Elephas maximus indicus: one gene and its partner. The protein of the gene in region 1 purifies or fractionates together with the protein of each later gene. This does not show direct contact. Links are inferred from orthologs where the notes say so. Each region holds a gene or a part of one and is shown on either strand. Other genes may lie near its edges. The genes, in order: RAB9A and GDI1.

Region 1 (15,804 bases):
CTACATTCTCTTGAGCACCCTTTCTCATTTCTTTTTTCCGTAAAACCTCACCATTTAAATACAATGCCTTGCTTATATATTTTGTTGTCTGTCTCCTCTCAGTAAATGGTAAACTCATGGGGTCAGGGATTTTTGTCTCTTTGGTTCACAGTCTCTTCCCAGCCCCAAGAACAGTTCCTGGCACATAGAAGGCCCTCAGCAAATATTTGCCAAGCCAGAAGAGCCAGGAATACGACATATCACTACCTACATATACTTATGTAAAGGATGAAAAACAACTTTAGAGAGAGAGCAATTGCAGTCGATGACAGGCAAAATGACGTGAGGGTGGAAAGAATGGAGAATGGGAAAAGAGAATATTGTTTTCCTCGGAATAATTTGGCACCTTTGTTCCCCATCTAGTATCTTAAGGAGGCCTGATAGCTCAGTGGTTAAGCTTCTGGCTGCTAACAGAAAGGTAGGTGGTTCAAACCTACCAGTGGCTCCGCGGAGAAAAGACCTGATGATCTGCTTCTGTAAAGATTAAACCAGAAACCAAACCCGTTGCCATCAAGTCGATTTCCAGCTCATAGCTACGCTGTAGGACAGAGCAGAACTGCCCCATAGGGTTTCCGAGGCTGTAATCTTTATGGAAGCAGACTGCCACATCTCTTTCCTGCAGAGCAGCTGATGGGTTCAAACCACTGACCTTTTATTAGCCAATGAGCGCTGAACCACTGTGCCACCAGGGCTTCTCCCAAAATATATATATTTGTAGATGAAACATATATGTATATAAAACATATATAAACACTATTTGCACTATTAAAGTTGTTTTTATTAAGCTCGTGTGCATTTTTTTGTTAAGTTGTGCCACTGCCACCACTAATCCCCAAGCATTTTCATTAGCCCAGAAAGAAAACCTGTACCTGCCAGCAGGCACTTGCCATTCCCTCCGTCAGCCCCTGGCAACCACTCATCTAATTTCTGTCACTATGAATTTGCCTATTCGGGAGATTTCACATAAATGGATTCATACAGTATGTGGCCTTTTGTGTCTGATTTCTTTCAGATGGTTTTTTTTTTTAACTCAAAAGTAGGCCATATCTTACTAACCAAAGGAACCCATGCTGACCTTTATTTAAAGTGCATCTTTAACTGAATTCACATGAATAATTTAACATTTACATGTCACAATTACAGTTCAAAGCTTTGTGTCAATAATTACTTTTGATTAACCCGTGCACAATTTGACATTTTGAATGCAAAAAACCCCCCAGCCTTATCTACAAGACATTCAAAGGTCATGTTTTTTTCTTTTAGAAAAAGGAAGGATGGATGTTTTCCCCTAGTTTCTTGATTTAGTTGGCAAAGAAGAGTTTAATTAATCAGATTTTTATCACCATAACCATTGTGTTGGGAGCCCTGGTGGTGCAATGGTTAAAGCACTTGGCTGCTAACCCGGAGGTAGGTGGTTTGAACCCAACCAGCTGCTCTGCAGGAGAAAGATGTGGCAGTCTGCTTCCCTAAAGATTTACAGCCTTAGAAACCCTATGGAGCAGTTCGACTCTGTCCTATAGGGCCACTGTGAGTCGAAATCGACTCCATGGCGACGGGTTTGGCTTTGTGTTGTTGTTAAAGTTAAGGAATTCTTAGCAGCAAGTTGGGTCAACTTCCCTTCCTTTGCATCTCCTCTCCTGTCTTGGTCACTTAGTTCTGCTGCAACAGAAATACCACAAATGGATGGCTTTAACAAAGAGAAGGTTATTCTCTCACAGTCTAGGAGGCTACAAGTCCAAATTCTGGGTGTCAGCTCCAGGGGAAGGCTTTCTCTCTCTGTTGGCTCTGGAGGAAGGTCTTTGTCATAAGAGCTGGTCCTCGCAGGAACCACTGGTCCTAAGGGTGTGCTCTGCTCCTGACGCTGCTTTCCTGGTGGTATGAAGTCCCCATGTCTCTCTGCTCCCTTCTGTCTCTTATATCTCAAAAGAGATTGGTTTAAAACACAATCTCATCTTGTAGATGGAGTCCTGCCTCATTAACATAACTGCCACTAATCCCATCTCATTAACATCATAGAGACAGGATTTACAACACATAGGAAAACTGGTCAGATGGCAAGATGGTGGACAATCACACAATACTGGGAATCATGGCCTAGCCAAATTGATACACGTAATTTTGAGGGACGCAATTCAATCCGTGACACCTCCCAAACAGACATATCCTCCGGCATAAAATTACTATGCAGTTGAATTGTTTGGCCCGTTGAAAGTAGCTCTTCCCTTACAGTTCCATAATATCACGTGCTGCTGGAGTCAGTTGCTGTCGAGTCGGCTCTGACTCATGGCAACCTCACTTACAACAGAATGAAAAGTTGCCAGGTATGTGTCATCTTCACAATCGTCGGGATGCTCGAAGTCCATTGTTGCGGCCACTGTGTATTTTTAGTGCCTTCCAACCAAGGGGACTCATCTTCCAGCACTATATCAGGCAATGCTCAGTTGTGATCCATCAGTTAATTTTCAGAAGTAGACTGCCATGCCTTTATTCCTAGTCTTTCTTAGTCTGGAAGCTTCATTGAAACCTTTCCACCGTGGGTGATCCTACCTATTTGAAATACCAGCGGCATAGCCTCCAGCATCACAGCAACACACATGCTACCACAGAACGACAGACTGACAGACAGGGGTAGGGGGATGGGAGTGCGGTAGATTATATCCATAGGCTAGGGAATTTCACACTTAGCCGAACCTATGAACTTTCTCTATTTTATCGCTGCCTTACGTTATTTGTGGGCACATTTGTTTCCTTTAATTGCCCATCAAGTCCCCTATGCAGTTCTTAGTTATGTTTATATCCCTAGAAGCCCCAAGGTGTAACTTGGGAAATGGAGGATGCTTAATACACTTTTGTAAAATAGATTTTTTTTAAGCTAGAGTGGAATTTCAATATGAGTTCATACATGTTTTTGTTCTGTATAGCTCATGCCACTATTTGCAAACCCTGCATCTAACTTTAATAAATGAGATCTGTACTTCTACAGTATCGTTAATGTTTCAAACCCAATCTCCTGAAAAAATCATTTATTCACAATCAATTCCTTGAACTCATGGAATTGGAAACTTACCAAATTAAATAAAACAAAGCCATAAGTCAGAAGAATTGTGCTAGATTGTATTACTGTTCAAAATACTTGATGATTCTCCCAGTGGGAGGGTTCTAGATCACTGCACCATGGAGGTAAAGCTTTACCACATGACTTGCAATGCCCTTCCCTTTAGGAGGATTATACCTACTAAGCGATTTGCCTTAAGTCTGGTGGCGTAATGGTTAAGAGCTACAACCAGAAGGTTGACAGTTCGAATCTACTAGGCACTCCTTGGAAACCCTATGGGTCAGTTCTACTCTGTCCTATGGGTTGTTATGAGTCAGAATCAACTCAGCGGCAAGGGGTTTTGGTTGTTTTTTTGCCTTGTCCAATGACGTACGGGTGGAAATGAATGTCACTTCTGGGTGGATGCTCTAAGAGCTAGGTGGGGTTTTATTTCGGTTTCTTTTCTCTTAAACAATGAGACTCACAATGTATCAGGCATAGGCTGCTCCATTAGCTCGGGTTCATCAGATGACATGAAACAGAACCACAGCTGACCCATAATGGATGTTACAGAGAGTGAGAAAGAAATCTTTGTTTTTGTAAGCCACTGAGATTTTCGTGTGTCATTTGTTACCATAGCATGGCTTAGCCTAAACTGACTGATAGAAAAGTGTTAAGAGAAATGTAATCCCATTTACCTGCATTTATATTATGAATCACAGTAAGCTTGGACTATATAATCTATAGGAAACATTCTAACCTTGTACCATTCAGGGTTTGTGGTTGCAGCTAAAGACATCAACTCCTTCTAACTTAGAAAAGGAATTTTTTTAGAGGCATTGAGAGGAATTTTTCTTAGAGGCAAGGCTGGAGTATTGAGTTGGGAAGTAGGCAGAAACCAAGGGAATCCAAGCTTGGTCTGATTAAGATGCTAGGTACTGGATACTGCCACTAGCATCCCCGTCTCTGGCACTATCCGTGGTCACTGGATACTAGAGGCCACCAGTAGTAGTGGTGCCAGAATGAACTGTGAGTGGTTCCAGCATCCCTGTGTTGCTTGCCCAAGACTCAGATCTTCAAAGAGAATATCTGACTGGCCAGGTTTGGTGCTCGTGTCTGTATCCTTGTTGCTTGGGTTCTGGAAGAGCAAGTAATTGGTCTTTGAGGCTAGATACTTAGTTGGTTCCCTAAATGCAAGAAGGGCCTTCAGATGACAAATAAAACCCATCCTTCTTTCTCCCCCACAAAGGCAAATATCCCTTACAAACTCTTAGAAGAAAACTTTAAAGCTCCTGATCTGTATTTCTTATTAAGTCATGCTTCCCTTTATGGGGTATAACACAAGGAGTGTAATATAAATGATTGCATTCTAATTGAAAATTTGTGATATGGATAGACATATTCTAGGTCACCACCGTCCAACAGAATTTTCTTTGATGAGGGAAATAGTCTATATCTACACTGTCCAATGAGGTAGCCACTAGCCACATGTGGCTGTTGAAATGAGGCTAATATAACTAAGGAACTGAATTTTGAATACTATTTAATTTTAATTGGTTTACATTTAAATAGTCACATGTGGCTAGTGGCTACCATATTGGACACACAGTTCTAGTCCCTTCAGGCGTTGTACCTAATTTTCACAACAAAGGGCTTCCCATCTTTTTGTTAGATTTACTCCTAAGTATAAGTTTGTTATTGAAATTGGTATCTTTTTAAAATGTATATTTTCTGTGTTTTGTTGGTTGTATAAATGGAATTCATTTTTGTTAATCATTTCTTATGTAGCTACCTTGTTAAACTCGTTTTTTTTTCTCAATTTGAAAGCAGTTACAGTTTTATTAACTGACCAGATTACAAAAATAATCACGGTAGACACCTTTAGTTCATCCTTCTAATAAGCCTGTTGATCTGGTCTTCCCTGTTGCCAGCATCTCCACCTTCTACAAAATGGGTGGTCTTTTTCTTCATTCCACCTCGTGGAGAAGATAATTTGAAGGGCCACAGGAAGTCGTTTGCTTCTTTGAAGCGTTTCCCAACAGTATAGATCTCATGAATCAGATCCTCCATGCAGATGATGCCATATTTACCAAGAGATCGTGCCATCAAAGTGTTATCCGTCAGGGCAATTCGCTTCTTATTGATCTCGCCATAACCATGCTTATAGGTCAGTTCATTCACTGACTTCAGGTTTGGGAATGCCCACGCAATATATGGTTCCACAGTTCTCAGCATGTTAATTGAAGCCTTGTTGAGCTTAACAGAAGTGCCATTGAAGATCTGGCGAAGGCGAAGAAGCTGCAACACCTTTCGAACCTTTGGGCTCACACCATTGATACCTCTGATCCTGATAACAAATGCCAACTTGGGTTCTGCAGGTACACAGAAGTTGCCAGCTTTTCTTGCCATCCTAGCCATTCGAATTTCAGTCCTGTACATCTGCCTATACTCCTTGTGATAGTGCTTAGCTTTTTCATAGATAAGCTTCCTCCTTGCCTTTCGAAGCATCTTTTGGGCAAACTTCTTTCTCAGGCGCTTGATCTTTAGTTCTGCGAAATTCCTTTGCTTTTTTTTAAGGGTTTCTGGCACATCAGGAACCTTCTTTTTCTTCTCTTCGACACCCTCCATGGTTCCAGCCGGAAAAAGAGCTGTTAAACTCTTTTAATGATTAGTTTTCTATAGAGTCATTGGGATTTTCTAATCATGTCTGTGTTTAATACAGTTTTGCTTTTCCCTTTGCGATCCTCAAACTTCTTCTTTTGTTTCCTCACTATGCTAGGACCTCCAGTGCAAAGTTGAATAGAGTGTTACTTGAGCGTAAGAACTGTGTGTTTTAGTCAACATATATTTTGAATTGTAGTAAATAGAAACCGACTTCAAGATTAATTTAACTTGAAAATTGAATTTATTAGAAGGCTAGCAGGATGTCTGTGAGGACCCCAAAATGATCCAATCATTTTTACTGTACCTGAATCTGGGGCTCACTTATTATGTGTCTCATTTTCAAAATTGTTCTAAAATTGTTATTTTATGTGTCAGAAACTTTCTCAAATATAACCTTCCTAGTGCTGAATGAAGAGACTACATTAGATTACCTGAAAATAACTCTCCTAATAGCCAGAGATTATTTAAATAATTGTGGGCCCAGCAAATCATAAAAGTGAGAGCCTTCTCTTAGAAAATAAACAGCCTAAATCTACCCACAAAATATATTGAGAGTTCACTAAGAACCCCTCTGGCCTCCAGGGGCCTGTATCTGGACCCATGTCCCAAACCTCATATATAAAGCATGAAATTCTGAAGAGCTTTTTTAATACCGCCTTTCCCCCTACTGCTTTATATTTAAATTTATATTTAAAGATGACACAAGCAGTATTTTAACAAGATTAAAGGAAAAAATTCAAAGCTTAATTTTAAAAACTTGTTGTCGTTGTTAGGTGCCGTCCAGTCGGTTCCGACTCATAACAACCCCATGCACAACAGAACAAAACGCTGCCCGGTCCTGCGCCCTCACAATAGTTGTTATGCTTGAGCCCATTGTTGCAGCCACTGTGTCAGTTCACCTCGTTGATGGTCTTCCTCTTTTCCACTGACCCTGTACTCTGCCAAGCATGATGTCCTTCTCCAGGGACTGATCCCTCCTGACAACATGTCCAAAGTATGTAAGATGCAGTCTCTCCATCCTTGCCTCTAAGGAGCATTCTGGCCGCACTTCTTCCAAGACAGATTTGTTTGTTCTTTTGGCAGTTCATGGTATATTCAATATTCTTCGCCAACACCACAATTCAAAGGCGTCACTTCTTCGGTCTTGGTCTTCCTTATTCACTGTCCAGCTTTTGCATGCATATGAAGTAATCGAAAATACATGGCTTGGGTCAGGCGCACCTTAGTCTTCAAGGTGACATCTTTGCTCTTCAACACTTTAAAGAGGTCCTTTGCAGCAGATTTGCCCAATGCAATGTGTCTTTTGATTTCTTGACTGCTGCATCCATGGCTGTTGACTGTGGATCCAAGTCAAATGAAATCCTTGACAACTTCAATCTTTTCTCCGTTTATGATGATGTTGCTTATTGGTCCAGTTGTGAGGATTTTTGTTTTCTTTATGCTGAAGTGTAATCCATACTGAAGGCTGTGGTCTTTGATCTTCATTAGTAAGTGCTTCAGGCCCTCTTCACTTTCAGCAAGCAAGGTTGTGTCATCTGCATTACGCAGGTTGTTAATGAGTCTTCCTCCACAATATCACAACTGTTTTTTATTTTTCATCTATTCTGTTATTCTTTGCCATTTGCACATTGGTTTATTGTAATCACAGCATCCTGTGATTGTGCTCACGGGATCCGCTTATTTCCACTTCTCTTAAACTTTTTACGAGAACAATGTTGTTTTGTACCCGCTCTGGTCGGAGCGCAAGAGGGAAGGTATGAGAGGCAGCCCACCCAGAGGAAAACCGATATCCAGCAAGGACAGCCGGTCAGGGGTGGGCGAGGGCGGTGCGGGCCCGCGACCTCGAGGCCCCGCCTCCCAGGCCCCGCCTCCTCCGGGCCCCGCCCCGGCCCGTCGCCATGTTGTTCCCTCCGAGCTGGCTGGGAGCAGCTGGAGCCGGAGCCCGAGCCGGCGACCCCGCCGCTGCCTCGTGCCCGCCCCTGCCAGGACCCTGTCTTTCCCCAGCACACCCGGACAGGCGGGCGCAGCGCTCCCGGCGAGTCCTCCGTGTGGTTGCCACGTGAGCTGGGTGCAGGACTCCCCTGGGGTCGGGCGGGGTCCGGGGTGCCCCAGCGCCCGGGTCTGAGTGGCGGCCCGCAGGCCAGAGCGCGGCCTGGGTCGGTGGGAACTGGGGCGGGCGCGCTGGCGGGAGGGGGGCGCGGGGCCAGCGCCTGTCACCGCCGGTCACCGTCCGGCCCCTGGAGGGGAGGGAGGGGGGGAGGGATCGGCTTGTTCTCCCCCCACCCTTACGGACTGACGCAGGAGGAAAGACGGGTTTACATACCCAGGGAGCGGGACACACACCTATGCACCCGGGGACGCGCAGAGACGCCCGCACGCACCAGGTGACACACACACCCAAACACTGGGGAAGAGAGACGGGCACACACACCCAGACTCCCGGGACACACGCGCAGCCGCCAGCCCACACCACAGCCTCCCGAGGGAAGAAAAGGCGCCCACCCTTCCCGCGCACGACGTGGCTCTGGTGACCTCTGACATTCTGCCTAGCCGAGAGTTCGCAAATGTTTTGTGACCCCTCAGGTGAGGCATGTAAATACCATTCCAAGGGCCAGCAGGCGCTTCGGGCCATTATCTGATTTAGACAGCAGCTCGGGTTTCAGAATGGTGTTCCTTTCTGTCTTCCAATTTAGTAAGTCAAAAGGCAAGTCGAGAATTCGAAGTGCTGACCAAATAGTTGGTGGAGGTATTCAGTTTGCTTTTTAGGGGGTTTTGTTTTTAAAGCAGTGACACATCCCGTGACCGCGGTTCTCTTGAGGAATAACTTTTCTGCTAGTTTCCCAGTTGGCACGTGACCCCAATCTTTTTATAGGATTTCAGCGTCCTGATAAAATGAATAGACAGAATCTGACTGCCTTTTTAAAACAAACAAAACAAAAAAAAACTGTCTTTCAGTTTCTGGCACCATTGTAATGGAAAATCCCTAAATTGCCTGTAATCTCAGCAGCGGTTCAGTGGAGCGAAACTGGAGAGAGGGAGGAAACCCAGAACGATTCAGTTAGGGACTTTTTAAGAAGCCCGTTTGGAGACTCTTTTAGAGGTGTATCTGAAGTTATTAATACGTACTTTCCTAGAACTCTCAGTATCTTGTTTAGATTCCCAAATCTAAGACAATGCTGTTTCACTCTGATACTTTCAGTATTGTTGTGTAGACATTAAATTCTTCTTGCTTATACTAAAAAGTTCCTGGTTTGGTGATTTATTTATTTTGGACAAAATTCTGTGATTTGGAGCTATTTTTGATTTATTATCTAGGTGATTAGAGTAGACTGGCAGAAACTAAATAGAACATTGTTGGCCTTATCTCCAAGCCAGGTTCTTGGACACTAGGGAAGTATGTAGTGCCATTTCCTCTTTTCCAACCACTTTCTTCTCTTTTCTTTCCTTTCCGTCTGTTTCAACCACCTTTTCTGTCCAGACTACAGTGCTCTAAAAAAAAAAAAAAACTCCCTTTGCTGTTGAGTGGATTCTGACTCAATAGCTACCTTATAGGACAGGGTAGAACTGCCCCATAGGGTTTCCTAGGCTGTAATCTTTACGGAAGCAGATCACCAGGTCTTTCTCCCGTGGATCCACTGGGTGGGTTCCAACTGCTGACCTTTGGTTTGCAGCCGACCGCTTAACCACTGTGCCACTATGGCTCTAAGGCCTGAAAATAAGTTCCTTTGGTTTCAGAAATTGTTTTCACTGCCCCTCATTTCTCACCACGCAGGTTCTGGGTGTTCTGGGTGTATAAGTCCTGAACATACATCTTTCATTGAATGCTCACAGCACGGCTGAGCTATTGGCCCCCTTTTACAGATGAGGAACTTGCTGGGGCTTAGGAAGGTTAGGTCTCTTTCTCAAGGTCACACACACAGTGAGGAGCAGAGCCAGGATTCAAGGCAAGCCTGTGTGATTTGAGGGCAGTGGTTCTCAACTGGGAGCGATTTTGGTACCTCCCCCCCCCCCCCACCCACACACACACAGAGAAGACATTTGGCAATATCTGGAGACAAGTTTGTCACACCTGGGGAGGAGTGCTAGTGGCATTTACTGGGTGGAGGCTGACGACGTTCAGGACAGCCCCCACAGCAAAGAATTTCTGGCCCAAAGTGTCACTGGTGCCGAGGCAGAGAAATCCTGCTTTAGAGCAGTCTGCGGAACGCCAGGACTCACTTGTCTCCTCCGCTTGCAGTGTTGTTTTCTTGTTTAGGATACCTTCTCAGCGTTTCAAGAAAAAGCAGGGTAAAATTTGAGAACCTAAAAGAGACTTCTCTTGATTGAGAGGCATATTCATTCATTTAAAAGACTAAGTAAATAGTTTTTGAGGACAGAATTCAGTATTTATTTTTAGGCGAAAATGTCAAAAAGAACTTGAGAGCTAGCTATGTGGGAGCCATCCTAGTGGACTGAGCGAGTTTAGTTCCGGCATTACTCCAGGCATTATTCCAGCCGTCAACAAACATTTTTCTGAGCGGCCTGTCAGGCCCACAGAGGTGCTGGTGATTTGAAGAGCTATCGAGAGCCTTGTCTTCCTGCAGCTTACAGTCTACTAACAATCCTGGGGGTCCTAGACAGGGTCAGGCATTCATTACAGAACAAAACCAGAAGCAAAACAGCTCCCCACGTGGCAGGAAGTACCTGCATCGTTGTTTTCTGTGAGCACACTTAGATGAAATGAGGGGAAAGCTGCTGTGTTCTTTATAGCTCTGTTCAGTTAAGCGCATGTGAACACTTAAAAGAATCAAACTGAGAAGCCATTCTCATTGAGAATAAAATTCTGCCTTAAATTTAGCTGCAGCAGACAAGGGCATGTGGTTTGTCATTGAAATCAAGAACTAAGTGAGGAGATAAAAAAATGACGTTGGCATCATCTTTTTCTTTCTGGCGTTTTCCAGCCTACTTTTGCCATGCCTGGCTATGCACAGGCCTTTCAAACTATGTACTTTCATTCTGGTGGCAAATGTGAATGTAACTATTAGATGAGCTTGGGGAGTGATTAATTGAGAGAAGAAGAAGAGTTGGGTCTCTTTTTCGGAGTCACTGTGAAGTTACGCAGTCATTGAAGCATCTTTTTGTGGGTAGCTTTGCTTTTTGACTCGGCTTTTTTTTAATGGACAGGCTACTGCTCTAATGAAAGCTTTCTCTGCACTTACAGGAGTTGTCTGCTGTGGGGTGGGGGGGATGCTAAAGTATATGCCTGAAATGGTTGCTGTCCCATGGGGTCTAACAAAGCCCTGTATGTTCTTTCCTCACTGGAGTTTTATCCTGGAAGGGCTTAGAGGAATTGGGGTGGGGAAGAACTCACTGGCTTGGGTGGAGTCTTGCTCTGTCATTAGTTGGCTTGCTGCTCTGGCCAAGTTAGGTCACCAGATTTCTTTCTTCGTAAAATGAGATGCTTGTACTTTATGATCTCTGTGAGATTATATGATACCCAGTACAGACAGCACATTATTAGGTTCCATGTTGTTCTGCCCCAGGCAAATTGTTGGCTAAGCAGCAGGAGGAAATAAACCAAATAGAAGTGTGCATATGTGTTGAGGCAACATATCTAACTTGAGAGCTATCTCAGTAATAAATTGGCTTGTCAAAACCAAGGGTTTGTGACTAAGTAGACCATCAACAGAGGACATTTATTAACGTTTTTGTTTTTTTTTGGTCTTGGTAGTACTCACAAAATGCCACAGGGAGTTTGATCGAAAACTGTGACACAAATGAAAGTTCCAGATACCTGAGGAGGGAGGCTGTGAGTGATGTGGAGTGATCCAGGTGTGTGGAAGAGGGGAAGCCTGGCTGCCTGGTGATGAGGGGCTGGTGAGGCCCGAGGCAGCCCCAGCTGGCCCTGGCTGGGGAGACTGGAGGTTCAAGTTGATGACTCGGCTGGCTAGTTGGGTAACTTGGAGGAGAAATCACTGTTTCCCAATGTGACTCTTGATACTATAAATGTGTGAAGTTGTGTTCAGGTATTTCCACATTCTGGATTTTTCCATTATGTACTTTTTATGAATTGTTGACCGTGGCAAGTACAGGGTTTAGAACGATGTTTCTGATCATGAACATAGAGAGGCTGGCTATACTCACCAAAAAACCAACAAACAAACCTGTTGCTGTCTAGTAGAGTCAATTCTGATTCGCAGTGACCCCATAGGACAGAGTGGAACTGCCCCATAGGGTTTCCAAGGAGTTACTGGTGGATTTGAACTGCTGACCTTTTGGCTAGCAGCCAAGCTCTTAATCACTACGCTGCCAGGACTCCGGCTAGATGTCAATGAATATAAATAAATAAGGTAAGAGCTAGATCAGCGAGGGTGGAGGGAGATGGGCCTGTGTTTGGGAAACAATACAGAAGTGAATTCAGTAGGGGTTGAGGCTTCGCGTCCTGGCCCGCCCTGAACCCAGCTCCTTTCATGGAGGGCTGTCTGTGGACAGAGTGCACCTTTGTCTTCTGCCTGATGTTCTACAAATGCGTGCTGTTGTTTGTCAGCAGCGGAGAACCAGTATAGAACGACTGCACACATTCATTTCATTGCCATGTTCATTAGCCAGGTGTGAAGAACAGCTGGACGGTGTTAAAGAGCTGAACTAATTTATCATTATTCCGTGTTGTTCTGAATTGGATTAGGATTTTTTTATAGAGAAGCTAAAAGGTAGTTAGTGGAAACCCCGGTGGCATAGTGGTTAAGAGCTACAGCTGCTAACCAAAAGGTCGGCAGTTCGAATTTACCAGGTGCTCCTTGGAAACTCTGTGGGGTAGTTCTGCTCTGTCCTATAGGGTCCCTATGAGTTGGAATTGACTCGACGGCAGTGGGTTTTTTTGGTAAGGTAGTTAGTTACCAGAAGATTAGTTCTCAGAAGGGTGGCTGTGTTATCAGTGTTAGAGAAGCCTGAAAAATTCTTAAACAGAATTCTGTTTCTAGAACTTGCTATGAAGAACTCTAACCAATAAAAAAAATAGGAGTGTTTAAATGAGTCTAACAGGTTCAAAAAGTTAGAAATCTTATTAGTCTGTGCAGTTTGACACTGTGTATTTGATCAGAGCAGGGAGTAGGTGAGCACTTCTGAAAAAACATATGTCTTTGAGTTGGACGTCTGAATGGAATAACAACACTGAGGACCAAAAGAAAACCAAACCTGTTGCCATCAAGTTGATTCTGACTCATAGCAACCCTATAAGACAGCAGAACTGCCCATAGGGTTTCCAAGGCTGTAATCTTTAAGGAAGCGGACTGCCATATCTTTCTCCTGCGGAGCCGCTGGTAGGTTCAAACTAGTGACCTCTCAGTTAGCAGCTGAGCACTTAACCACTGTGCCACCAGGGCTCCTTAAGTAGCTCTGAGTTTCCCTCAGAAATTCAACATATGCTGCCCTGCCCCAGTGAATTTGTGGTGTTGCCTTGGGGCACCTCCACACACAGTTTGGAAACCGCAGGATTAGAAACTTGGTGGTTTGGGTTATAGCATAAACGAATAAGGCATCAAAGTTGTTTTTTTAACCCCCCACCTCCACTCCGTGTTGATATTTGTAGCATTTTCCCTTGGGCCCTTCATTCCCCCCAGATAATCTTAACAGTTTGGGATGCTAACATTTGGGGGGCTAAGCTGCAGGGTGGGCAACAGGTGGGGAACCACAATTCAAGTTTAGTTTGCAGACCCTATCCCCCGTTTTTCGGAGTGTTTTAGCCACATTTTCTGCAGTACAAATGTCTCTAGGAAGTAGACCTTCTGCTGAGGTGGAGAAAGCCTAGGGGGTGAGGAGGTGGTCATGGGGTTGCCAGCCTTGCAGACACCTCACCCTGCCATGAGAAGTGCCAGGGCTTGTCCTCCAGGGCCTGTGCCTGTTCAGTTCTGCACCGGAGTTGGCTTTCTCAGCCTTGGCTGCCTCTCCCTGCTTCAGGTTTCCTATCTTCTGTCACTGCTGGACCGTTTGCATCCCATCTGCTCAATTTTGTACATGACCCTGATCTACAATTGTTTTCTTTTTGTCCTTTTGGGTCTGTATGTTTTCGAGTCCTTTTCTGTCACTTGGGGGGTAGTGAAGATAACACATGTGATCTGGCCTGTTTAATCAGACCTGGGAAGTTATTTGTTTTTTGTGAACTTCCGTTTATTGATCTATAAAACGTGGGTGATAGTGTCCAACTTGCTGGAAATTTTAAGGTGTTATATGCCAGGAAGGGAGCCCTGGTGCATGGCGGTTAATTTGCTCCACTACTAACTAAAAGGTCGGTGGTTCAAACCCACCAGCTGCTCAGTGGGAGAAAGCTGTGGCAGTCTGCTTTCTGTAAAAATTAAAGCCTTGGAAACCCTATGGGGCAGTTCTACTCTGTCCTACAGGGCTACTGTGAGTCGGAATTAACTTGATGGCAACAGGTTTTTTTGTTTTTTCAACAAGTTTTTTTTGTTTGTTTTGTGGTATGTACCAGGTACATAGTAGATATTCACTAAATCATCGTAATTAATGTTCATAGTACTTGTTATTTGAGCAAACCAGACACTGGCCATAGGGAGGGAGGGAAGTGGACACATTTCTTGCAAGGATGAATGAAGTGGGTAAGACAGAAGAAGAAAGATGTTTGGAAATGGGGAAAATGATGAGGTTCATTTTAGATATGTTGAATTTGAACTGCCATCACCAGATGAACATACTGTAGAAGGGGTTGGAAATTGTTGTCTGGTCCCAGGGAGGGGGGTTAGTGGGAGGGGAGGTGGGAGAGGAAGGGACGAACCTAAAGTCTGGGAATCCCTGGCTTTTATGTCCCAGAAAGATACCATCTGGAAAGAGGTAGGGGCTTCAGCCTTGGGAAATACCTTCATTAAGAGCTTGTTAGAAAAGGGAGCCATCTGGGTTGAAGAAAGTTAAGGGAGGGAGGGGGAGAGAAAGGGGAGCCTGTTGTCAGAGTAGTTTGTATGGATGATTAAGTAGGAAACATTTTCAAAGTCAGCGCCAGGCTGTTTAGACATAAAACACTGTGTTAATGTGCAGTGGTCCTGTTCTGGTCCAGACCAGAAAATCCCATCTTTGCCTCTAGCTAGATGTGTGATACTATGCAGGACATTTTACCAGGTGGGCCTTCATTTCCTTATTTGTCTTTTTTAACAAAGACTTAATACCCTTCCAAGATTTTGTGTCATGTACGTCCAGGCAAATGACTACACCTGAAAGAATTCACTGTCAACTACAGGGGCTGCAGGTGGGAGACTGCTCAAACATGAGGGTGTTTTCTAGAAATGTACACAATGTTGCTCTAAGAGAAACTCTTTGTTCACTTTAGTTTCAGTTACATGCAGTAAACAACCTTATGAAAAGCTCCCTGCAGAGCTCTGAGGTTCCTGCTCCTTCCCAGCCAGTGGCAGCTTCCCTGCAGACTGGTATGTGGGAGCCTCTGACCTAGATCTCACCTAGATGCTGGATATATAGCTGCTGGTTGCCCTCTTTAAATGTATCTTGGGCAATCCCCAGCCCCTGCCTTTTACTTAACTTTTCTCGCAGTCAAGAAGTTCTACTTGCTGTGGTTTCATTCCTTGTGGGAATGTTTGCTATCCAACCCTTGCCCTGAATTTACATAGAAGTTCTCCAGCTACTTACGCTTGCCTGCTCTGAGTTAGCGACATCTGGATTCTTATCTAACTTGAAGCGCAGAATAAGACCCAGTTTTTCCTTAAGTTCCAACATTATTTTGCAGACCGTCTTTAGTTTGTGTTTTGCTGCTTCAGTATCTTTTTCTTTCTTTTTTATTGTGCTTTAGGTGAAAGTTTACAGCTCAAGTTAATTTCTCATACAAAAATTTATATGCATATTGTTATGTGACCCTAGTTGCTAGCCCTATAATGTGACAGCACCCTCCCTCTTTCTACCTCCGGTTTTTCAAGTCCATTCAACCAGCTCCTGTCGCTTTCTGCCTTCTCATCTCACCTCCAGACAGGACACTCCTCACCAGTAGTATTTTATGTTTTATTGTCTGGTCTAATCTTTGTCTAAAGAGTTGGCTTCGGGAATGGTTTCAGAATTCATTTTTCTTCCTGAAA
Region 2 (16,233 bases), about 160 Mb from region 1:
AAAAATCCTCACAACTGGACCAATGAGCAACATCGTGATAAACGGAGAAAAGATTGAAGTTGTCAAGGATTTCATTTTACTTGGATCCACAATCAACACCCATGGAAGCAGCAGTCAGGAAATCAAAGAATGTATTGCACTGGGTACATCTGCAAAATATCTTTTTCAAGTGTTGAAAAGCACAGATGTCAGTTTGAGGACTAAGGTGAGCCTGATCTAAGCTATGGTATTTTCAATCATCTCATACGCATGCAAAACGTGGGTAATGAATCAGGAAGACTGATGAAGAATTGATGCGTTTGAATTATGGTGTTGGTAAAGAATATTGAATATATACCATGGATTACCAGAATAATTAACAAATCTGTTTCGGAAGAAGTACAGCCAGAATGTTCCTTAGAAGCAAGGGTGAGGAGACTATGTCTCATGTCCTTTGGACATGTTATCAGGAGGGATCTGTTTCTTGAGAAGGACATCATGCTTGGTAAAGTACAGGGTTAGTGGAAAAGAGGAAGACCCTCAAATGAGATGGATTGACACAGTGGCTGCAGCAATGGGCTCAAGGGTAACAACGATTGTGAGCATGGGGCTGGACTGGGCAGTGTTTTGTTCTGCTGTACATAGGGTCACTAGGAGTTGGAACCAAATCGAAGACACCTAACAACAACATACGTGTGTGTGTATACATTTCACTGGTTTTTCTCCTTTAGAGAGCTCAGCCTAAGACAAGGAGGGAACATTTCCTAGCTTAAACTGAGGCCAGCACTACCCGATACGAAAGCTACACAAAGCTGGCCAATGAATAAGGAAGACTGAAGAATGCTCCTTAGAAGCAAGGATGGCGAGACTGCATCTTACATACTTTGGACATGTTGTCAGGAGGGATCAGTCCCTGGAGAAGGACATCATGCTTGGCAGAGTACAGGGTCAGCGGAAAAGAGGAAGACCCTCAATGAGGTGGGTTGACACAGCGGCTGCAACAACAGGCTTAAACAGCAGCGATTGTGAGGATAGCGCAGGAGCGAGCAGTGTTTCGTTCTGTTGTACAGAGGGTCGGTAGGAGTTGGAACCCACCCCAAAGCAGCTAACAACATCAGAACAACAGGGAGAACGCGACCACGCCGGAGTCTGTGAAGCGGCGCTCGCCCCGCTCCCATTTGCCCCCGCCTTCTACCTCCGCCTCGCTCTCCCCAAACCATCTGGGTCATCCTGTGCCGGTTGCAGCCGGCGGCGGCCGGCGGACAGCGGGACTGGCTGAGTTTGGCCGCGCCCTCTTTCCCACTGGGAGTGTGCGCGCCTGGAGACGCTTACAACCAACCATTGAAGAGGAGCTGCCGTGAATGGCATGCTCTCTGTCCAATCACCTTCGGGTCTGGCGAGCATGCCTGCACCCGGGCCAATGGTGGCGCGCGGCGGAGCTCGGGCGGGGACTGCGGTCACCTGATCACGGCGGCAGCAGCGGCGGCGGCAGCGGCAGTGGCAGTGGCGGTAACGGCAGACGGCAGCCAGACAGTACAAGCCGAAGATACAATGGCGGCGGCGGCTTGTGTGCGGGCGCGGGCGCGAGCGCGGTCGCGGCGGGCCCCAGCGTTCTGGCAGATTCGGTGGCTGCCGCTGTTACTGGCATTGACGGCAGTGGCGGTGGCGGCGGAGCAGCAGGTGCCGCTGGTGCTGTGGTCGAGTGACCGGTGAGCGGGCCTGGCCGGGGCGTCTCCAGGGGCGGCGGAGCCTGTGGCCGGGCCGCGCTCGCCTGACTCCGGGGCTGGCCTTGGCAGGGGGAGGCGAGGCCTAGAGAACCACTCTCCGTTGCTGGGGAGCGGCGGCGAGTCTGTCGCGGTCAGAGCTCCTGCTCTGCTGGTCGAGCTCCCTGTCCCACCCACGACGTGGTAGCTGGGCATCCATGGGCTTCGGCTTTTAAGCCAGGCGCCCCGCTTGATGGCACTCTTCTGTTCCGTACAGGGACCTGTGGGCTCCTGCGGCCGACACTCACGAGGGTCACGTCACCAGCGACTTGCAGTTGTCTACCTACTTGGACCCCGCCCTCGAGCTGGGCCCTCGGAATGTGCTGCTGTTCCTGCAGGACAAGGTGCGCCGCCCAGGCCTCCGTCATTAGTAGTCGGTCAGGTTCCCTCCCCCCACGACACTTATACCCGTTCTCTAAGGGAAGATTCCGTGACCTTGTCCCAGCTTGTGGAGCAGGGTGCCGCGTCTCCGTGGAAGGCCTGTAGTAGAAGCTTTAGTGGGAATGGTGGGAGTAGCCGAAGGGCACTACCTCGATTGGGAATGAAAGGGGCCACATGCCTACTCAGTATCAAGCACTTCAGGTACATGTTCTGACCGACCTCCCCCCACCGTGCTGGGGATTATCGTCCTGTTTTACACCTGCAAAGACTGATGCCCAAGGAGGGCAGGTGGCTTGCCAAAGGTCACACAGCTCATGAGTGGCAGGGTTGTGATTCTAATTGAAATGGTAATAATAGGGCTGATCACAAAGTGGTTATTTATTGAGTACTTCCTGTGCACTGTGCTAGGTTGATATCATGATCTTGATTTCACTGCCAAGGAAACTAAGGTTTGTAGAGGGGCAGTGATTGCTAAAATTTCATGGTTTATAGACACCGTGGTTGGTTCCAGCTTGAGAATGTTGGACCCTACCAGTTTGTGTTCGTAATGAGTATGCAGTTTTCCCTTCCATTGCGCCTCCCTGGACTCCAGGCAGGCATTTAAGCCATGAGAAGAGTCTAGGGCAGCCTGGAATTGGTGTCTGGGAGGCTGTCAAACCTCAGCTTCACCAGTCCTTGTTGGTGGCCTTTGTAAGTCTTTCCTCTTTGGTTCTCATGCTGTTGCTTGATGGGTAGATAGTGGTGGTCACGCTTGCCCAGTTCTTGCAGGAGGTGGTAAATAATGCAGTCAGACTTGAACCCAGTCAAGTTCTACCAGTTACCAGCCTTTGGACAAACAAAATAATCTTTGTGAATGCCAGTTTCTGCATGTGTAAAATGAAGACACCACTTGCACTAAAGAATTGTGAGGAGTAATTCTTAGAAACGTTGTAAAACATCTAGCTGAGGTCTCTCATTCATTCATTTGCTCATTTGCCAGGGTGGAAGGCCTGCTATGTACTGGATGTTGTTAGGTGTTGAGGATATAAAACCAAAAACCAAACCCAGCGCTGTCGAGTTGATTCCGACTCATAGCGACCCTATAGGACAGGGTAGAACTGCCCCACAGAGTTTCCAAGGAGTGCCTGGTAGATTCGAACTGCTGACCCTTTGGTTAGCAGCCACAGCACTTAACCACTACGCCACCAGGGTTTCCAGCAGAGTAGAACTGCCGCATAGGGTTTCCAAGGCTGTAATCTTTACAGGAGCAGACTGCCACATCTTTCTCCCATAAAGCAGCTGGTGGGTTCGAACCGGCGCCATTCTGGTGAGCAGCCAAGCGCTTAACCACTGTGCTATCAAGGCAGTGGGCAAAATAACTCAAGCCTCTACTATCAGCAAGCTGACATTCTCGTGGGGGCAACCAGTAATTGTGAAGTAGATGTATAATATAGCATCAGTGCTATATTCTTTAAAGAAGATGGAAGCTGGCTAAGAGGACCTAGTGACTCGGGATGCTGTCTCGTTGAAGGTGGGCAGCCAAGGCCTCTGGGAGGGAATACTGACTGAGAGAGGGAGCCACGTGGTTGTGAGGGAGGGGGATTCCAGGCAGAAGGAACAGTAGGTGCAAATGTTCAGGGCTGGGAGCGCTCTTGATGAACTCAGGGAAGAGCCAGCGTGGCTGGGGTATAGTGAGTGAGAACGGGGTACGAGACGTCAGGTACCCAGGAGATGAGATAGGCCTTGTAGGCTATGGAAAAAGGTTGATTGTGATCCTAAGTGTGATGGGAAGCCTTCGGCGATTTCTACCGGGAATGACTTGATGTCTTCATTAAAGGAAGCACATGGGACACAGTGGTGGTTCCGGTTCCCTGTTCTCAGGAACCCTGGCTTCCCCTGGCTTTAGGAAGGAGAGCCTAGGACCCTAAAGAGGGTTAGCTTTCCTGCCCGGAGGGAGGGGAGGCTGGGCGAGTTTGCATACTAAATAGTGTAGTTAGAGAAGCTGATTAATATTGCTTGGCCTTTAGGTGGAACTGAGAAAAGGTAGCTGAGAAAAGCTAGTGGAAGCTGGAGCTGGGTTGGGGTGGAGCTGGGAGTTGAAGGACATCTGTAGGTTGGGGAGGGAAAAGGTTGGGGCTGGGGTTCCTGTGGGCTGAGGACTGCGAAAGACTCCAGTGCTTCTGGCAGCCTCTTCCAAGATCCAGTCTCTCTCCCCCCTTCAAAAACAGGCGGAGAGGGGAATTCTCAGGCCCCTTTAGAAGGGGTCCTAGTTCAGTACTCCAGCCTGCACCTGGGCGGCTCACTCACCCCATAGCAGCCTGTGTCTTTGCCATCAGCCCTAGGAGGCATTCAGGCTGTGTTCTTGGCTGCCCCTCCCCACCCCCTCCCCAGCTTCCGTGTTCCCTACCAAGTTCCTCTTGTCTCTCTGTGAGGGGTGGCTGACTGACTGGGATGAACACAAGTCAGCTGGCAGTGCCGCAGGTTCCTCCCAGCCCCAGCCCTGTGACCACCGTTCCTGTCTTCTCACCCTGCCTGAGCCCTGAGCATGCTGGAGGGAAGGAAGGGAGCCTCCCCCACGCCTTGCTGTTCTTGGTACCAGACCAAATCCTACTCTAAACAGGGCTTTGCTGGGCCCGCTCTAGGCCCTGGCCCCTTGACCTCGTCCAGGCTCAGGAGGCTGTCTTCCCCTGCTTTCCTCCTAGCTGAGCATTGAGGATTTCACCGCATATGGCGGGGTGTTTGGCAACAAGCAGGACAGCGCTTTTTCAAACCTAGAGGTAAGAGCCCTGTGTGTGGCATCCCGGTGTCCCGCACCCCACCCCAGCACCATAAAAACTATGCCTTTGGGAATAAGACATTTGCTGTGAGGTCCAAAGACCTGGGGCCTGAGTGTCAGGCAGGGGTGCAGGGTGGGCTTCAGACCCCCGTGTGGGCATGCTTTGCCAGAGGAGAGCTGCTGGACAGGCCTTGGGGGTGAATTTTGTGACATTGAGCAGCCACTAGTCCCCCACTGACTCTGCCTTCCATCCCCCTGCCCCCAGAATGCCCTGGCCCTGGCCCCCTCCTCGCTGGTGCTCCCTGCAGTTGACTGGTATGCTGTCAGCACCTTGACCACCTACCTGCAGGAGAAACTTGGGGCCAGCCCCCTGCACGTGGACCTGGCCACACTGCGGGAGCTGAAGCTCAATGCCAGCCTCCCGGCCTTGCTACTCATCCGGCTGCCCTACACGACCAGGTACAGTCCTGCCCTTAGCCTGCAGCCCCCAGGCCAGTGGAGCCTCTGGGCCTGGAGAGCACTGAAACCTGGGCCCTGGGCTCTGGTAGCATGGTGCAACCAAAGGAGACAGTCCTTTCGTTAAGCACCTTGAAACCCTTTTGGAACGTGCCTGTGTGGCCAGAGGAGTTGAGGGGATTGTGTGTGGAAGGCAGTGAACCTGGCTTTCATGCAGGTTTCAGAAAGCCCCTAGGTGGAGTGTGCAGGCTCAGTGAGCAGGGAGCGTGGAGTAGTACGCTGAACCAGTATTCTGAGGCCTGGGCCTTCAGTGGAGGCTGCCAAGTGGTGGGAGGCTAGAGAGGTGGACAGGTGCAGGGCAGAGGGGAACATGAGGAGGTGAGCTTTTGGGACTTGAGGGCCAGGGCTGCCTACACAAGGGCACTAACGTTCCATTTCTTTGATAGCTCTGGCCTGATGGGTTCCAGGGAAGTCCTCACAGGCAACGGTGAGTGGCATTGGGACCTGTACCCTTACCTGACCCCCCGTCCCTGTCCACTTCTGTGACACAGCTGGTGGCATGACCCCAGAGATGCCCAAGAACTCCTCAGCTTCTGCCTCACTCCCAGGAGGCCCTGCCTGTTCCCCACAGTTGCTTTCTGCTCAGCGGGATGTCAGGCTGTGAGGGCCTCATGCTGCTGGAGTCTTGTCAGAAGTCTGCTTCCCTCCACCAGAGTAAATCCAAGAATTTGGGGGAGTTGGCTTTTTGCCATGAAGGACAGTTACGGTTTTTAGTGGTTGATATTTTGGAAGAAGACCATCAGGCCTTTTGTCCAAGGTGCCTCTGGGTGGGCTCTCTGCCAACCTTTTGGTTAGCAGCCAGGCGCTTAACTGTTTGCACCATCCAGGGCCTCCTTGGGAGTCTTACGTGAATGTATGTGGCGGGGTCTGTAACTATGGTCATATCTCTACATATTTATATCTGCATTTCTATATCTGTATCCGTATCATATTCTATATCCATGCCCATATGTCTGTATATTTATATCCCTGTCTGTTTGTATTTTTTCATTTCTCTTTGTTACACCTTGTCATTAGGAAATCGATAATCAAGGCTCCCAGGGCCCAAGGGAGGCTGGATGGAGGGCGGGATGAGAAACAGCTGCTGTTAGTCTGGGCTCATCAACAGCTACTAAAAACATCTGGTGAAAGGTTGATGCGGAACTGGCTCTGGCAAGGGTGTTAAAGCACCACACCACAGGTGACGAGCCAGTTGTGGTGGTGGTGCTTCACAACGGGGACATTTGGCAGTCCCCACCTCAACCAGGTGATCCAGTTGTGCGTCATCAGCACGTGACCCGGCTCTTTGCTCTCCCCATTTGCTTAGACGAGGTCATCGGGCAGGTACTGAGCACACTGAAGTCCGAGGATGTCCCGTACACCGCAGCCCTCACAGCAGTCCGCCCTTCCAGGGTACGTGCCCTTCCCCGCAGGGTGCCTTGGGAGGTGAGGGGTGGCGGGCCACAGGCAGGGCCGCTGTGGGCTGAGGACGTTGACATGGGGCGGCTCTGTATGGAGGGCCTGAGCTTCCTCCCTCCAGGCAGCAGGTGATAATCTTGCCCTGTGAGCTCATGGGTTGGTGTATGTGAAAATTAGTCAAAGTGGTTCCTGAGATTAAGGAATTAGGAAGATAATACAGGGTGCAGGCTGGCTGGGGAGGGCTTCTTGAAGGAAGGGCTCTGAGTCTGGCCAGTGGGTGTTGGTGTGGTGAAGAGGATTGCCTTCCTGGGGGCAGGGCAGCTGGTTTAGGGCTTGGGTCCAGGGTGGTGGTGAGAAGGCTCATTGGCTGTCTCCACAGGTGGCCCGGGATGCAGCCATGGTGTCTGGGGGTCTGGGTCGACAGCTGCTAGAAAAAACGACAGAGACGGATGTGCCTCACCCCCCTGTGAGCTACAATGACACAGCCCCCCGAATCCTACTCTGGGCCCAGAACTTCTCTGTGGCTTATAAGGACCAGTGGGAGGACCTGACCTCCCTCACTTTTGGGGCCCAGGAACTCAACCTTACTGGCTCGTTCTGGAACAACTCTGCCGCTGGGTGAGGACATTCGGGCTGGGGAGGAGCTTGGCCATAGAGGTGATGTTCTGCCTCCGTGGGTCAGGGCCGCTGGCGGGGAGGCAGCCGGACGTGGGGATGGCATGGCCTTGTAGGGTGTGGTCACTGTGGGGTGTGGGTAGTATCATGGGGTGGGGGCTGTTGGAGGGGGAGTTGCTCAGAGTTCTGCCTCCATCATGCTTTCTGGGCCTTGGTTGGGGCCTTTGTCGTTAACGCCTCATGGTCACCTGGGAACTTGGTGCGTCCCCTAGAGCGGAATCTCCTGGACTGAACATAGGGCAAATACTAGGCCAGCTTCCTGAGCCAGCTGTGGGGCTCCTGTGCCCTTGCTGTGTGGCCAGGGAGACTGCTACTCCTCCATTTGCCCTCACCCCCAAAAACCCAACCCATGTATCACTGCAACCCCACGTGGAATTGAAAGAAGAGGCAGTGGACTCTAGGAACCAGAGGAATGAGCCTTGAGTTATAGCCGGAAGACCTGGCTTCTAGCTCATTCCTGAGTTGAAATGTGACTGGGGGAAACACTCTCCTCTCTGGGCCTCAGTTTTCCCATCTGTAAAGAGGGAGCACTACATCCTCAGTTGTCATGAAGACCTGGGGGCAGGCTAAGTAGGGGTAGACGTGAGAAACTCGGTCCTTGAAGCCACTCACGGCCTTTTCCTCTGACCCCACAGACTCACACTGACCTACGAGCAACTCTTTGGTACCAGAGTGACATTCAAGTGAGTTCTGGGGCCGCCAAGGTGGGGCAGGCTGGGTGTGGCTCTGGCTTCCCCCACATGCCTGACCACTTGTGTTGCCCACCCCTAGGTTCATTTTGGCTAACCGCTTCTACCCAGTGTCTGCCCGGCACTGGTTTACCATGGAGCGCCTTGAAATCCACAGCAATGGCTCTGTCACCTACTTTAACGCCTCCCAGGTCACTGGGCCCAGCATCTACTCCTTCCACTGCCAGTATGTCAGCAGCCTCACCAAGAATGGCAATCTCCTTGTGCCCCAAATACAACCCTCTCTCTGGCAGATGACGCTCCAGGACTTCCAGGTATGGCGAGGGGAGCTACGGTATGAGTAGGGGGAGGAGAGAGGCCTCAAGAGTCTTCAGTGGCCTCATCTGGGCTCCTGTAGTTGAGAGTCCTGTTCCCACAGTGCCCCTGGCCCTGGGAGACTCAGAATGTCCACCACCTGGGGGATCTCAGCCCTTGCTGGACATCCTCACTGCAGGGGGCCATGAGGTCCCACCAATTGTGTCTTGTCTGGCCCCAGATCCAGGCCTTCAATGTGACGGGCGAGCATTTCTCCTACGCCAGCGACTGTGCCGGCTTCTTCTCCCCGGGCATCTGGATGGGGCTGCTCACCTCCCTCTTCATGCTCTTCATCTTCACCTATGGCCTGCACATGATCCTCAGCCTCAAGACTATGGACCGCTTTGATGACCACAAGGGCCCTGCCATCTCTCTGACCCAGATAGTGTGACCACCCTGCGCTGCTGGGGGGCCGAGGGGCGTGGCAGTGTCCTGGTCGTCACTTTTCCACCTCTGGTCACGCCAGACTGGAGGGCTGCCATAGCATGAAACCCCAAGGTCCCTCACCCTGGCTCCCTTCCCTTTCCATCCTGGGGGGCCCCCCTGTGTCTCCCAACAAGATGTATGTACATTCTGCATAGGTAGTAAGTAGACAAATCTTCCAGGCTCAGTCGAGGTGAGGGAGAGGGAACGTTAATTCTAGGGACTGCTTCTCCCCCTTTTTCTCCTCTCTCCAACATCGCCGCTTACTGTTTACAGTGCTTGTGTGCGGCACATGCCCCCTCCCCAAGCTTGACAGGGCTTCCTGCAGCAGCCTGCAGCTTGACAGTCCCCGAGTTTGGGGAGTATAGAAGTAGTATTTAACTGTGTGTCCTGCTTAGCTGTCGTTGTTTGATCTTTTTTGATGATGTCGTGCTAAAAAGCAGCAGTACCCAAACAAAACACCCAGTACAGTGGGATTTATTTTTGTGGTCTGAGAAGGAAGGGACCTCCATGGCAGGTGGGTTCAGTGTGATCCCTGAATTTCTAGCATTTTCCCACCAGGAGGGCCTGGCAGCAGCCTGGGGCACTCAGTTATTTTCTTTACTGATAAATAAAAACGGGTTGCCATGCGTTGGGCCTCTGGTTCCTCATTTCTCCACGGACAGAAGAGAGGCGGGAGGAAGGGCCTGGATGTAGCCGAGCCCGCCAAGGGGTGCAGCGGCCTTGCGGGGGTCCAGCTGGCAGCACCTCCAGAAGCTGGGAGAGGCTTTTGCCAGCTAGGCCCTCAACGGTTCAGCAGGAATGGGGGTCCGTGCCGGGGCGACGAGGGTCGGGGCGGTGCTGAGTCACGGTACGTGCAGCTCCTGGGGGGAGAGGCCGCCATGATAAAAGATACTCGGGGCTTCCGAGGAGGACCGCCCGGAGGGCTGGAGGGCGCGGTCGGCCGCCCCGCGCCGCCAGTCCCAACACGCCGCCCCCGGCCCTCCGCAGCAGTGCGTGGCCGCTGCGCGCGCTCCAGCATCCCGGGGGGCGGGGCGGGGCGGGGCGGGGCGGGGCGCGCGCGGCTCCCGCGGACGGATTCCTCGCGGGGCCGCAGAACCGACCGCCCCCTCCTGCGCCGACCACCCAGCCCGCCCCTCCCCACTCTTCAGCAGCCGCAGAAACAGGCAGCTGGGAGAGCTGCGCTGGTGCTCGAGCCCGGGCCCCAGCCGCCCTACTGGGACGCGTGCTGCTGAGGCTGCGCGGCGCCTGAGAGCGGCGGGGGGCGGGGAGGAGCCGGGACTCTTTGACGCGGCGGAGGCGTCGGACGTCTGAGCGTCGTGCCGCCATCTTTGGTCCAGTGCGGCGGCGGCGGCTGCGGCGGCGGCTGTGGTGAAGGAGGTGGAGGAGGAGCCGGAGCTGGCGCTGGCATCGAGGACTGAACCATGGACGAGGAATATGATGTGATCGTGCTGGGGACCGGCCTCACCGTGAGTCCGCCCTCGCGGCATCGGTGGCCCGTGGCCCCACTTCGCGACCACCTATCCCCGCGATGATGCACTTCCCAAACGACGCCGGCCCGACCTCCCGTCCTCTCCCGTACCCTCAGCCCTTCAGCCCCTCAGCCCCAGCGCCGGATGCCCCCGGCGCTTCTTGTCCCCCGAAAAAACAGCCTCCGCTGCCATCCCCACCCGACCTCACCTCTACCCGCTGCCGCGTCCCCGTCTCAGCGGGGTGCCCCTCCCAATCGCCCCCCGCGATCTCGGGCCCGGACCTCTCCCCCCCTCCACGACCCTCTCATCCAGCCTGCTGGGCCGGGAAACGCACCCTGCTTGGGCGACGCCCCGATGCTCCGACCCCGCCCACCGGCCCCCTATCGCCCGCACAGCGGCCCCCTATCTGCGCTAATCCGATGAAGGATGAGGTGTCCATCTCGATTCACGGTGTCTCGCTAGGGTAGGCCCTCATCCCGTCTCCCCAGCTGCTTCTGGGGCCGGGGGACCCAGTGAATGTTCCAGAAGCAGCAGCAGTGGGGCCGTTGAGCACATTCCGCTCCCCCACCGCAGTTCCCCATGGCGACCGCGGGCTGAGTCAGATCCGCAGCCTTTGTCCTTGGGTTGGTGACACCGACTAGGGCTTCTTCCCCGTAGCCTCGACCCAGCTGGACAACGTCCGCAGATGTGGCCGCGAAGGCTTAGGGTCGTCCGAACCTTCGGAGGAGGCGCGGTCCGGGGCGGGCGGGCGGGCGGATTGCCGCCGCCGGGTCTGCCCTGGGGCCTAGAGTTCTAGCAGCGCTCCTCGGACTCATTGTGTCTTAGCCGCCTTTTCCGCGGCCCTAGGGCCCCTACGTCGACGGGGGCTTTCTGGGCGTGTGGGCTGCTCGGAGCGGTCTTTGCCTCCAAGCGGCTGTTATTTCTTTTCTTGTGCATCTCTTGGCTCAGCAGGGTATAGAGGAGAAGCCTAGTGAAGCTCTGGCCTGCGGTTTCAGGTTAGGTGACCAGCTCTGGTGAGGAGGAGCTGTCCACAGGCACAGGGTCCTTGTTTAGATTTGCTCTTTTCTCAAGTTCCTGGGTGGGGAACAGTCAGGGCTCCTACTGCGAATGTGTGGGTGGGGAGTCATGTAGGGACTGTCACGTCTCCCCTTAGGAATGTATTTTGTCTGGCATCATGTCTGTGAATGGGAAGAAGGTGCTGCACATGGACCGGAACCCATACTATGGCGGGGAGAGCTCCTCCATCACGCCCCTGGAGGAGGTGAGATTCAGCCCCACCCCTAAAAAATAGAAACCTACCATCCCTTTAATCAACCTTCTCATGCGCTGGAAGCAGCTCCCCAGGTTCTCTCTCTGGGCAGCAGGGCTGGGGGCTGGGGAGGGAGGGGATGGCCCTGAGGTATCTCTTCCTGTCCTGCTTGCAGTTGTATAAGCGTTTCCAGCTCCTGGAGGGGCCTCCTGAGTCGATGGGCCGGGGCCGAGACTGGAATGTTGACCTGATCCCCAAATTCCTGATGGCCAATGGTGAGGGGGACGAAGAAGGTATTGGGGGGTGATCGGGAAGACCAGAAGCAGGTCAGGCTCCAGAGAAGGGGTAGTCAGGCCAGTTAGAAGAAGGGGGCCATGCTGATACTGCTGTTCTCCTTTGCCTACAGGACAGTTGGTAAAGATGCTGCTGTACACAGAGGTGACTCGTTACCTGGATTTTAAAGTGGTAGAGGGCAGCTTCGTCTATAAGGGGGGCAAGATTTACAAAGTGCCATCCACTGAGACCGAAGCCTTGGCTTCTAGTGAGTTCCCTGGGCCAAAGAATAGTTGGGAGGTGGGGGAGGCAGACTGCCCTTATTAATACGGGTGGAAAGGTCCAGACCAAGGTGCCCCTTTACCCAGGCTTCTATTTCTCGTACGGTACCAGTGGCCCTTTGCTCTATTCCGTGTGTGCCGCCTGTCATGCCTCATGGCTTGTTGCCAGGGTAGAAGTCCAGACATGGAGGGGCGTGGATGGGGCCTCCTGTTGAAAGACTTCAACCTTTGAAAGGGTTTCCACTTGATCTGTGAAGCATCCCCAAGCCTTGGAGCTGGAAGGGCCCTTAGAGCCTGTGCAGCCCAGCCCCCTCTTTGTATAGGTGGATAAACTGAGGTCTAGAGAGGCAGCGGGATTAACCTAGTCAGTGGCAGTCTTCAGCTAGGAGCTTGGGCTCCTGGTTTTTTGCTCTAACCTGGTGGGAAGAAGAGGTTTATGATTTCGTGGCAACAGGATTCCCCTCACAACGTTTTCTTCAGATTTGATGGGCATGTTTGAGAAACGGCGCTTCCGCAAGTTCCTGGTTTTTGTGGCAAACTTTGATGAGAACGACCCCAAGACCTTTGAAGGGGTTGACCCCCAGACTACCAGCATGCGCGATGTCTACCGGAAGTTTGACTTGGGCCAGGACGTCATTGACTTCACTGGCCACGCCCTGGCGCTCTATCGCACTGATGAGTGAGGGGAAGCTGGGATGGGGCGGTCCCCTTCCTCGAACACTGCCCTTCACACACCTGATTTCTATGCCCTCTGTGCTCAGCTACCCACTCAGACTGTTGTTCTGCATGTGACCCATGGTTCTTCCCCAGGGGGTGGGAAGGCCGGCTCAGTGCCTGGGTTGGGGTGAGGTGGCGGGCAGGAGGGGGTCTGCTGTTTGAGCATCTTTCTCTGCTTCCTCAGCTACCTGGACCAGCCCTGTCTTGAGACCATCAACCGCATCAAGCTGTACAGCGAGTCCCTGGCCCGGTATGGGAAAAGCCCGTATCTATACCCTCTCTATGGCCTTGGCGAGCTGCCCCAGGGATTTGCAAGGTGAGGACATAGCTTTTTTCAATTGGTATTACCAAGTAGAACTAAGGACAGACAATAAAATGGTCACCTTAAGTTGTTTGTGGTGTTTTTATTTTCACTCCTGTGACCTGAATTTACTTCCCGTGACACTTGGAAGGAGGGGGCACAGCAGCAGTGGGTTGATCGTAGAGGCGAAGAGCCAGCTTTCCAGTAATCTGGATTGCTCAGCTCACAGTTCATGTCTGAGGTAATACTAGGGATGGACCTTAGTTGTAGTGAGGCCCCAGAGTCTTTATTGATGGCTCAGGCAATAATAGCTGGCTCTTCTCTGGAGCTTCCTTGGTTTTTGGTTCCATGTGGAGCTGTGCCCTTATGGCACCCTCATATGTAGTCCTCTGGAGAATATTTGGGGCCAGAGAGGAATGAGTGCAGTGAGTTCAGCCCTGAGTTTGTGGCAGTGGCAGAGCTGCTGGGACAAGCAGCTGGGTTTCCGGGGTTCTGCCCAGCCTGGAGCAGCCTTCTCTGCACCCCAGGGACGGGTGGGGGAGCGGGGCAGTGGTACCAGGTCCCTGTTTCTCCTGGCAAGGAGACTTCACTACCACCCCCACCCCCCCCCCCCCCCGCGCCCAGATTGAGTGCCATCTATGGCGGGACGTATATGCTCAACAAACCTGTGGATGACATCATCATGGAGAATGGCAAGGTGGTGGGTGTGAAGTCAGAGGGAGAGGTAAGCGGGCTCCACTGGACAGCCACTCTGCCTTCTCCGCGCAGTTTAGGCAGAATGGTCCGGGTACGGTGTGGCCTGGTTTCACGGGCTCCATGTTCCTGGTGATTCTGATTGGGGTGTCTGCTGCTACTTAGCACCGAGGACCCCTGTGCCAGGGACTTGGGGTGCAAAAGCAGTCTGTGTAGCCATTCCTGTTACCGAGAGGTGTCTCTAAAAGCCCACGTACCATGTCGGTGGTCCAGAGTTTCCTTAATCACGGGGTCTCAGTAGAGGGGGTTGGCCCGGTGTATTGGGCCCTGTCACCCTGAGCAGGTTGAGAGCCCTGTGCAGAGCAGGGCTGCGTGTTGCGGGAGGGGCAAGCAGTGGCAGAGAGGCCTCTGCCTGCTGAAGTTGCCACCCGTAGGTTTGGGCCCTGCCCCCTGGCCATCTAGGGAAGTGATAGGACCCAGGACCGAGTCCTCCCTGTGCCTTCACAGGTGGCCCGCTGCAAGCAGCTGATCTGTGACCCCAGCTACATCCCCGACCGAGTACGGAAGGCAGGCCAGGTGATCCGTATCATCTGTGTCCTGAGCCACCCCATCAAGAACACCAACGACGCCAACTCCTGCCAAATTATCATCCCCCAGAACCAGGTCAACAGGAAGTCAGGTGGGTAGAGAGCCAAGGTGGGACTTGTTCTAATACATTCCTTCTGGGGTTGTGCTGCCTCTCCCTATCAGACTTGGGGCTCCCTGCCTAATCCTTCCGTGGAAGAAATGGGGCCCCAGGGCTTGGATGGCTTCTCTTGGACTCTTCTCCTCCATGAAGGTAGCAGCTTGGGCGCTGCCCATTGCACAGGGCTGTAGGGAGTGGGTAGGCCACCAGCACCCCCCTGCATGCATGGCTGTGTACCCTTTGGCTTTTGTTCACTGAGCACTTACTGTGGTCAGACATCTACGTGTGCATGATCTCCTACGCGCACAACGTGGCTGCACAGGGCAAGTACATTGCTATCGCCAGCACCACAGTGGAGACCTCGGAGCCTGAGAAGGAGATAGAGCCAGCCCTGGAGCTGCTGGAGCCCATTGATCAGAAGTGAGAAGCTGGGGGGGTCTGGAGGCCAGGCTCAGCCCCAGGGGGATGAAGGGAACCGAGGGGCTTTCTTGAGAGGGGCTGGAAGGGGGACCCGTTGTGAGGCCTGTCCTCTCCCCTCCCGTCTGCCCCTCAGGTTTGTGGCCATCAGTGACTTGTACGAGCCCACTGATGATGGCTCCGAGAGCCAGGTAAGCAGACCTGTCCTGGCTCCTTGGCTCCCAGCTGCCCACCAGGGCCTCTGTCCATCTCACCCTGGGCCCCTGGTTGGCTGTTTTCAGGTGTTCTGTTCTTGCTCCTATGATGCCACCACCCACTTTGAGACAACGTGCAATGACATCAAAGACATCTACAAACGCATGGTTGGCTCGGCCTTTGACTTTGAGAATATGAAGCGCAAACAGAATGACGTTTTTGGTGAAGCTGACCAGTGATTGCTGACTGCCTGCCTGCCCGCCCCAGCCCACTCCTCAGTCCGGGACGACTGGACTGGGGCCGGGCCCTCCTGTTTCTGTTATCCTCTGCTTCCTCCACCCTGGTCCCCATCACCCACCTCATTGATTCACTGACCAAATCCTTAACCTTAGCAGTGGTTTGGGAGATGGGGGTTGGGTAGCATTCTGTTTCTTGGCCATTCCTTTATCCTGGAAAAAGAGGGTTCCTTTCCTCGTGTGTCTCCGTCCCCCACTCCTAATTCTTCTGCTCTGTTTGTGAAGAATGTGGCGGAAAAACCGACTTCTATCCCCGCTGCCCTTACTCTCCTCCGGTAGTGGCCTTTGGAGATATCCCCTGCCTCCCCCCACCAAGTCTTGCGTGTGTTGGAAGAGAAGGGGCCCTCCCAGTACAAAGTTGCATTCCCCCTCTAACTTATTCTAATTTATTAACCTCGGTCCCGCCTGAGCACATGAGAAGGGAGTGCTGAGCCCTGTCTCACAGACCGCCTTTTGTGTGATCTGAGTTGGACCCTTCCCATCCCTGGCGCAGTCTGGGAAGAGGGAAAAGGCCTGGGCGTAGCATGGTCGGAGGTTGATCTTGCTGTTTTTGTTTTTGCCTTTGTGTTCGTGTCCTCTGGTTCTTGCTGAGAGAAAAAAGAAATTTGAGCAAAGCAGGAGGTGGGAAAATGGATCCAAACCACAGTGTTCCCTGCTCCAGTCTACACCTTTCCTTTAGTGGTGGGAAACCCTAACCTTGCAAAGTGGATGTGCCCCCTTC

What was found.
Region 2: the proteins of RAB9A (region 1) and GDI1 purify together in Homo sapiens (affinity purification with mass spectrometry; 3 studies listed by BioGRID and IntAct, counting the BioPlex papers as one, with this or other methods). This does not show direct contact. The link is inferred for Elephas maximus indicus from reciprocal best matches to the Homo sapiens genes RAB9A and GDI1.

What each region holds. Positions count from the first base shown.
Region 1 is NC_064846.1:165,952,045-165,967,848, reverse strand, and holds the start of RAB9A (ras-related protein Rab-9A), read left to right. Parts: upstream 1-7,625; 5' UTR 7,626-7,796; intron 7,797-8,038; exon of another isoform or gene 8,039-8,320; intron 8,321-15,804. Other genes in the region: 60S ribosomal protein L7-like, read right to left, coding at 4,955-5,701. UniProt on the Homo sapiens protein: The small GTPases Rab are key regulators of intracellular membrane trafficking, from the formation of transport vesicles to their fusion with membranes.
Region 2 is NC_064846.1:2,003,412-2,019,644, reverse strand, and holds the start of GDI1 (rab GDP dissociation inhibitor alpha), read left to right. Parts: upstream 1-10,245; 5' UTR 10,246-10,357; coding exon 10,358-10,402; intron 10,403-11,558; coding exon 11,559-11,666; intron 11,667-11,829; coding exon 11,830-11,929; intron 11,930-12,060; coding exon 12,061-12,195; intron 12,196-12,688; coding exon 12,689-12,887; intron 12,888-13,109; coding exon 13,110-13,241; intron 13,242-13,850; coding exon 13,851-13,950; intron 13,951-14,426; coding exon 14,427-14,598; intron 14,599-14,879; coding exon 14,880-15,024; intron 15,025-15,157; coding exon 15,158-15,212; intron 15,213-15,302; coding exon 15,303-15,455; 3' UTR 15,456-16,233. Other genes in the region: ATP6AP1 (V-type proton ATPase subunit S1), read left to right, coding at 1,531-1,688, 1,960-2,086, 4,805-4,879, 5,144-5,337, 5,781-5,821, 6,701-6,786, 7,172-7,410, 8,103-8,150 and 2 more. UniProt on the Homo sapiens protein: Regulates the GDP/GTP exchange reaction of most Rab proteins by inhibiting the dissociation of GDP from them, and the subsequent binding of GTP to them. Promotes the dissociation of GDP-bound Rab proteins from the membrane and inhibits their activation.